2 linked regions of the Arabidopsis thaliana genome follow. The protein of the gene in region 2 interacts with the protein of the main gene of each other region in a pairwise test. Each region holds a gene or a part of one and is shown on either strand. Other genes may lie near its edges. The genes, in order: ENA and ADT4.

Evidence for each region.
Region 1: the proteins of ADT4 (region 2) and ENA interact in a two-hybrid assay, tested with the Arabidopsis thaliana proteins (one large-scale study listed by BioGRID).

Annotation. Positions count from the first base shown.
Region 1 is NC_003074.8:6,037,608-6,041,313, reverse strand, and holds ENA (DnaJ/Hsp40 cysteine-rich domain superfamily protein), read right to left. Parts: upstream 1,907-3,706; 5' UTR 1,675-1,906; coding exon 1,540-1,674; intron 1,463-1,539; coding exon 1,366-1,462; intron 1,247-1,365; coding exon 1,192-1,246; coding exon of another isoform or gene 1,182-1,191; exon of another isoform or gene 1,111-1,181; coding exon 990-1,110; 3' UTR 681-989; downstream 1-680. Other genes in the region: AT3G17670 (tetratricopeptide repeat (TPR)-containing protein), read right to left, coding at 53-457; AGD15 (ARF-GAP domain 15), read right to left, coding at 2,262-2,453, 2,603-2,804, 2,900-2,990, 3,079-3,133, 3,216-3,306, 3,397-3,455, 3,547-3,597.
Region 2 is NC_003074.8:16,269,513-16,274,221, reverse strand, and holds ADT4 (arogenate dehydratase 4), read right to left. Parts: upstream 2,712-4,709; 5' UTR 2,464-2,711; coding exon 1,189-2,463; 3' UTR 809-1,188; downstream 1-808. UniProt on the Arabidopsis thaliana protein: Converts the prephenate produced from the shikimate-chorismate pathway into phenylalanine.

The sequences.
Region 1 (3,706 bases), about 10 Mb from region 2:
AAGCTCCATAAAAATGGAGAAGAAATTGAGACAAATTCGTAAGTCTACAGACCTGAGTGAGAAGTGCTTCGGCTTCAGAGAAATTTCCCGCATCGATTTGAGAGAGAGCATTGTTGGTTAACGCTAAAGCCGTGAGAGCGTCTGTGACGGCGGAGGATGAAGAAGCTTCACGACCGTCACCACATAGGCTGAACAAAATTTCAGCAGCTCGAGAAGGCGTGGCGCAGTGACGTAGGATGAGACCTTGAGGGAGAGCCACGAGGTTTGGACCGGAGCCGCATCGGCCGAGGCAAGCGCAGTGAGTGACTCGGAGTTCGGGAGGTGCGAGAGCTGTTAAAGTCTCGAGAATCTGGAAGGAGCCTTGTCTTCGGCAGGTGCGATTCGTACAAACGCGAATCTCCTTCACTTGTTCACCTGAGCTCCGGCAGCTCATCGCCGGCAAAGCGACGGAAGACATAACGATAAGAATATCGAACCACAAGAAGAAGAAAGATGCGCGCCTGACTAAATAAACCGAGATAATCAAATTAAAATGTATTAAATCCGGTTTGACTAAACCGGATATCACAATTGTACACTCTAATCAGCTCCCATTTTGCTTCGTTTCACACTCAAAGCCGAAGATAAAACATCACTAGACTAATTCTTAATCAAATTAGACAGCTCATAACTAAAATTTTGACTCAGAACCTTCCCATTATACTAAAGAATCCAAATATACCATTAGTAAGTACAAAGCCAAGATACAACAATTTTGCAATGTAAGCTTAAGAATATAAAACTAACGGTGGCTACGTTTCATTTATCTTCCTAAAGAACTTGTAGACTGGTGATTTCTCTTTACTTGCAACAACATCCTTGAAGATTACAAACAATATTAACAAGTCAGGAGCAACCATATACAACATTACTAAACAAGTCTTAAGCCTCCTCATTGGACATATACAAAAACTGGCAAGGACATGATCGTTAAGAGTTTCTCCAAATCATTATTGTGGATCGGCATCATCGTTTTGGTTTAAGAAGCGGAAACCCATGATGTATCTGTACTCTCCGGTGCCAAGACAGCGAGAACAGTCACTTAATCCACTCCCTCCACAACTCTTGCACCTGTGACCAAAACAACCAAAAAAAATTTTGAACTCCTTTAGTTCTTGAATCAAATAACAGATATAAAAGCCTCAAGAATACCATTTAGGCCATTCTCCTCTTGGAAGCATTTCCACATCCACACAATTAGTCCTCCCTTCAATCATATATCACAAAAAAGCAAGAATTCAATTCTCTGAAGTAGTTAATACGAAGAAATCAATCATAAGAGACATTTAAAGTTGAGAACCAGAGAGAGAAGTTATTTATCTTTACCTTTCCCACAACAATTGAAACAATCGACTCTTCCACTTCCATGGCAGATTACGCATCGTCCTTTCGCCTTCGACTTCATACACGTCTTAGCTCCAGACTGTTAACCATTGAATTCATTCTTATTAATGATATCAAGAGTCTAGAGATAGAAATTGGGGGTTTTTGGTTTCAGACCTGAGTTCTGACTATCCATGAAGGTTTGGTGAGATAGAGCCTAGTTTTTCCCTGCGTAGATTTTGAATTCGGAACGCCTTCCCCTGGCCGGACAGCCATCATCTCCGGCGGAGATAGACACGCGTTCACCGCCATCTCCGTCACTCTTCAGTCGTAACTCGTAACACACCACAACTGTTCTGTTCCTCTTCCTCATTCCAGTTTGTGTTCTCTCTCGGGCCTAAGGCCCATCTCTCAATAAACCCGTAAGAAAATTAACCAAACCGGACCGAGTTAGTGTGTTTAGGTCTGATTTAATTTTATTCGTTTCCTATGTAAAGTGTAAACCAAATAAAACACAAACTCAAAAGTGATTATTGAAATCATTACGGTTGTTATGGAGTATGGTGGACCAATCAATTGATGTTACTTGTCCAGCAATTAAAAATAATCACATTGGTGACTTGTATTTGCTTTCTCTTTTGTCAAATACTCAAAGATGTCTCTCTTCCATTGAATTAAAAATGATTTTGTTACAAGCAACCAAAATTGGATTATGAATGAATAAAGAATTAGAAAACAGAACCAACTTTGAGTTCATCATCCCATCTTTGCCAACCTTTTGACTAAAATTAAAGCCCACATGATGATTCTTGTTTTTCCAAAACCTCCATCTTCTTCGTCTTCATAGAGTCTTTTCTCTTCCTGTTTCACATTAGAGATTTAGAATCAAAACCTCAAAACTAACAGAAGATAAAAAAAAGAAAAGCCTGAATCATGGCCTTACAGTCGAAAGTAGCCCAGCTCGACGGTGGTGCTATGGTGGTTCTTCTATTCTGGTTTACTTCACTGGAGAAATTCTCATTCTTTTGATTTGGTTTCTTGAATTCTGGTAGAGGTACAACATATACATTCTCCTTCATATCTACCGAACCCTGCATTGCACAACAGTTTATGGAAATGATTCAAAATCCTTCTACAAAAGCTTTGTTAATTCTTGCCACAGGACAAACAAGGAAACTGAATGAATTTCCAATCTAGTGATCATACCAGAACCCAAAAAGATATAGATTTGTTGTCATACCGCACGAGTTCTCGTTTCTGGAGGTGTTACTTGAAGAACATGATGAAGAAGGATCTCTTCGTCAAGTGAAAGAGTTCTAGCTTTCTTTGGAGTTTCAGGTTTATATCCACTCTCTACCAAGTGACTAACTTTGCAGCTTAGCTGGCTAACTATAGGAGCCGGTTGAATCGCTCCCGGTGAAACCCATCTCTTCTCACTGTATCTAAAACACACACGAACAGAAGAAAAAAAGATTCAAGCTAAAGTTGTGTTGTAGCAGATGAGGAAGCAAAAGCGAACATAGAAAAGAATCAATACTTGGCTCTTATAAACGTGTCGCTTGAACTTCTCTCGAAATGTTGAGGCAATTCTGATTCCCAATACTCATTTCCCTTAGCATTACCGGTAGCTAGACCGAGAATAAGATGATCAAGCTATGGGATTGATACAAAATTCAACTACTGAATGTGTTCATTATATACAAAAGAGGAGCTTACATTTCATGAAAGCAACCTGATCTGGAAGCCATGTATCCAGAGTTATAGACCTTACCTGTGTCCAAAATTCATCAGTATCCCTAATTTGTATGATCCATTTACAACACAATCAATTAAAAGAGAGATTATTTAGGGACCTGAGAGATGTGGACGCCAAGGCTACGATGGATTCCAGAACATTGCATACAAATGAATATCCCAAGGTTCACACTTGCCCATCTTGGTGCCCTGTAAAATAGATAGATCCAAACAACACAATGCTCCTAAATCGTTTTTCTTACATGATCATGAAAGAGATAATGTTATCAAGATGCTTACTTTGATCTACAATCTGCACATTCTCGATTGTCTGGATGCTTCAAAAGTGCTTCCAATATCTATAACCCACACAAAATCTCTAACCTTTCAACTTTCCAGACGCAAAACCAATGGTGAAAAATCGAAAAGGAGGAGAAAAAAAGATGGGACCTTTGAATGCTTGGCGTTGAGCTCCTTGGAAACAGAGGCCTTCCTGTTCATTCTGATGAAGATGAATCAGAGAATGAGAGAGAAACAGAGGCAATTGAAAAATCAAACCAAGTTTGTAAACAGAGAGCCAAAATGGTTTCAAGGAAGAACGGATTTGAAG
Region 2 (4,709 bases):
ACTCATATTAGCCTAGACTGTGAATTCAGACGTATCTGTAACAAGTTATATTATCCAGACCTGACTTTCTATAAAGTTAGCACAACAAGTCGTTGTTAGACTATATATTAATAAACTGGAGTATTATTTATTCGATTTTTAAAATAAATTGAAAAGTCTACAATGTTTCACTGGTCCCAAATCTTTTTTTGTTATAGAACCATATTTATTTCTTTTGTTTTAAGACAGTAGATTATTAATAATCGGCGCTGTTTATAGCTTCCGATTTACATGTGAATTATTACTAGATTCAACATGTAAGTTTCTTGGAAATTATATTGCTAATTTCTTGCGACTCACCTAGAAACCAAACGTTGAACCCTTGAGTTGAGTTCACACGTGACCGGTGACCATAACTTTTTTTTTTTGTATCTACTCGTGAAAACTTCAAGGAAATCTTCACAAAATATTTTAATGATGTTGGAAATTATATCACCAACTACAATAATGGAGACTTGTTTTGTGAATATTATATAAACTTCGAACAAAATCTTTGTATTGTATATTAAATATGATAAGTTGATTTTTATTCACATTCATTTTCATTGGTTTACTTTTTTTTATCATGTAAGCGATTGTTTAATGGTATACATATGTTGTGGTTGAGCTTAGTGAACTTGAGATGAAGTCCTAACAGAAAGTTTTAGTAACAACATTATGCTGATAATTACATAAAAGAATTTGGTCTTAAGCTTTTGATATTGAAGAAAATATTAGGATCATCTCTACTAAAAATATGATTTAATAGAAATTTGTAGTAAAAATACTAATAACGTTGTTAAGATAAACAAAGTTACAAAACTGATCACATTTTTCTAAAAAATATGTGTAAATATATGTCTTTGTTTTTGGTAATGCCAATCATTTTTGCTTTTCTTGGTTAAAATCGAGTGAATTTACCAAAGAAAACCAAGGAACTCAAAAAGATTCTGCGAATAAACCACAATGTTCATAACTATTAAGTAAGAATGTAAGATATATCTGGTAGCTAGTAACAGACAAATAAAATTTTGTTTTCTCCTAATCACCACGTGAATAATGAGCTCTACATTTACGGTTTAATTTCAATGTATACTACAATTTTCACAAAAAAAGAAAGAACAGAATAATTTAATAAATTTATTGGTGAGTTTGTTTTTGGCGATGGGGTCATGCTTCTTCTGTGGATGTCATGGACCATGGTGTCATATCCATGGGGTAACTTCCCAGCACCCTTAGGAACGACGTGTACTCTTGAACCTCCGCAAGCGCGTTCTGTGCACGCGGCTCAGCCATCGATGCCTCAAAATCCACGTAAAACATGTACTCGAAGTTCTTCGACGTCCCAAAGCTCCCGTCACCAACAACCCTAAGCGGGCGGTTATGGTGAGGCCGGGACTCGATCTTGGTCAGGCTAATGTCTCTGAAAGCGAAAGCCGAGAGGACTTTAAAGAGGACGCTAGTTCCTTTGTGCTCTTGGGCAGCAAAGACGATGCTAGTCTTGAATGGCCGGTCCGTGCGTGGGATTATAGGCTCACGCGCCAACATTAGGAAACGAGTGACGTTCCCCGGGTCGTCTTGAATCCCATCCGCTAATATCTGGAGGTTGTAAAGCTCAGCGGCGCGTGCGCTCGCCACAGCCGCCGTGTCATGTAGGTCGTTAGCTGAGATATACTCCGCAGCAGCCGCTGTGTCATGGAAAGCCTCACGCGCTGCATGTGGTGTAAGGACGTCGAGGGAGTGTTCCGTCTGCGCTAGGGCTTGCGGGTGAGAGATCACCCGCGAAACACAGTCAGTTCGGACTCCCGGGAGTGCGAGGAGGCAATGGTGGACCGGAATCTGAACTTCTCCAACGATGTGAAGACGGTGACGGAGAAGAAGATCATAGTTTCGATGGATCGAACCACCGAGTGAGTTCTCCACCGGAAGCACAGCTCGATCAGCGATCCAAAGCTCCACCGCCTGAAAAGCAACGTCAAACTGGTCACAAGGAATGGCGTCGCAATTGGGATAAGCTTTTCCGGCAGCTGCTTCCGAGTAAGCTCCGGGAACGCCTTGGTAAGCTACACGTAGACTAGAACCATGCAACGGTGCCGGAGATAGATCAGTAATAGTCAACGGCTGAGCAGGAGCTAACTTTCCGTTAGTTGACTCAACGGCGACGAGACCAAGATTCACAGAGCCGTTCGTGTGACCATTAACGGCGGCGATTTTGTCCGCTAAACCACCGGTATTTTCAACAGAAGCAACTTTACTAGATAAAATGGCACATGAGCTTTGCCAATCAGATCGACTCACGGAGACACCGTTAGGGAAGCTAAACGACTCCGACCTATAACCGCACGTAACAGCCACGCGCTTTGGAATCGCGTGGGAGAAACATTTGTTCCTAGACGTCGGATCTGTTGATCGGAACTTGAGATCACACGACGTTGCGGCTTGCATGGTTTGGTAATGATGGTAAGACAAACAAAATTTGAGAATAAAAGCTGTATTATAGATTTATAGTGTTGGAAAGCTTGAGTTCTTTCGTTGAGAGAGAAGCTCAAGCTGAGAGATAAAGGAGAAGAGAGATGGTCTTATATACACACTAACACACAAGAATAAATTTTGTTTTGTTTTTGACAAAATTAGTCTTGACGTATGTAATTCGGTAAAATCCTTCACCTACCACCTTCCATGTAATTTCTATACTTTTTTTTCTTTCTGAAAACTATAATAATAGTTGTCTTTATTGAAATATATGATATTGTTGGTTTACGTGAAAGCGATATTCTTCATTTCTTCTTAGTTCTTACCATGGTTTTGTATTGTTGGTGTTACGTCCATAGATTTTTCTACAAATATCAAGATCATTGGTGTTTCTTTTGAGCAGTGGATGGTAAAATTTCTCTTAAAAAGTATTGAATATTCTATTATTATATATACATATGTATATATATATATATAGTTTTTTAATTGTTTGTTTTTCAATTAAAACTTAGTTACCTACTTCAAGAAAAATTAGATAGTTTATCCGCACTATGTGTGGGATAAATATATTATAGTAAATTTTTTATTATTTGAAATCTGAAATTTGCCTGTGTATTATTTAATGTAATATTTTTTTTTTGAACCATCTAGTTTTTGCATTAAAATTATTATTGCCCGTATATTGATTGTTATTAAATATGTATAAATATATTAGTTATTATTTTTATAATTTTCTTATTAAATTAAATTAAAATTATATTTTTAGAATCTTCTGAATATTTATAATTTACTTAAGTGTAATTGATATTATTTTTGGAAAAAACTTTATTTATAAATGTATTGGTAATATCTGATTAGAAAAATGAAAGTAGTACTATATTAATATTTTTGTTAACATATGATTTATGTTTCTATATAAAAACGAAAGTAGTTCTATATTAAGTTCTGAAATATTACTTGCTTAATTATTAGATTATTTTAATTGGAATTTCTTTTTTTAATTATTTACTACTTTTAATTGGATTTACTTTTTATTGTTTCTGTTATTGAGATATTTATATGTACTACTAATGATAAATTTTATAAATGATCTAGTAAATGAGGGACAATGAAGTAAATTGATTGAGAATTGCTCTGACACATCAGCTGGCATTTCTGTAAATACGACTGTAACTAAATTTTGTTTTTTAAGTGTGATTCTCTATTAATAATTTAATATATAGAGGATAAATGAATTCAGAAATTAATAAAAATTTTGATTACGAAAATATATAGTAGGCCCAAAGTTCACTTTCTCATATGTGGAATTTTATATGTCCACGAATAACACGGTTCAGCTCACCTTCTTTTACTTTGACACAATCGCCAAGCTGTGAGAGCATGCGCAGACCATAATGGACACATATATAGTAAATGGTTTTGTATTTATTATGATTTATGAAGTTGTTGGTCATTTTCATTTTTGACGATGTCTATTATTTGTTCGCTTTGGTGAAAATATTTGGTAATTAATTAACAAAGTGAATACTGTTTTACGAAACTCGGAAGGTGATCTATGATCTGTCATTTCGGGAGCATATATTTATATACATGATTTGTATTTGACTGATAACATATTTCAGGATCTTGGATATTGAATCCGTTTCTACTACAAAAAACCGCAAAATTGTGTGTTTTATGCCAAAATCCCTAAATTTGTGATTTTTTTACTTAAACTGTTTTCCAGTAAAAGTCGCAAACTATGTCATCCCGTAAAAAGTAACAAAATCTTGTTTCCGTAAAAAAAAAGTGTAACATTGAATTTTCCGACAGAATCATTATCTTATATTCTTTTCTGAATAATTGCTGAAAATGACCTTTTCACATTATCCTTTTTTAATTATACTCTTTCCTATTTGTCATTTTCATTTCTACCCTCTTTAAATTTTTTAATGACCATTTTACCCCTATTTGGAAATTGTTTTAGGTAAACAAAATGAAATATTAATATTTTTCGCTTAAAATATTCCAAAATAAATTTCTCGCCAAAAAATTTTGAAAAAAAAATTTCTCGCCAATTTTTTTTTTGGCGGGAAATAGCTTCACAAGGGATTTTAAAAGTGTTTTAAAAGATTTATACGGGATTTTAAAAGGGATTTTAAAGGGCTTTAAAAGATTTACAAAGCTTCACAAGGGATTTTTAAATTGTTTGAAAAGTGTTTTAAAATATTTACAAGTAA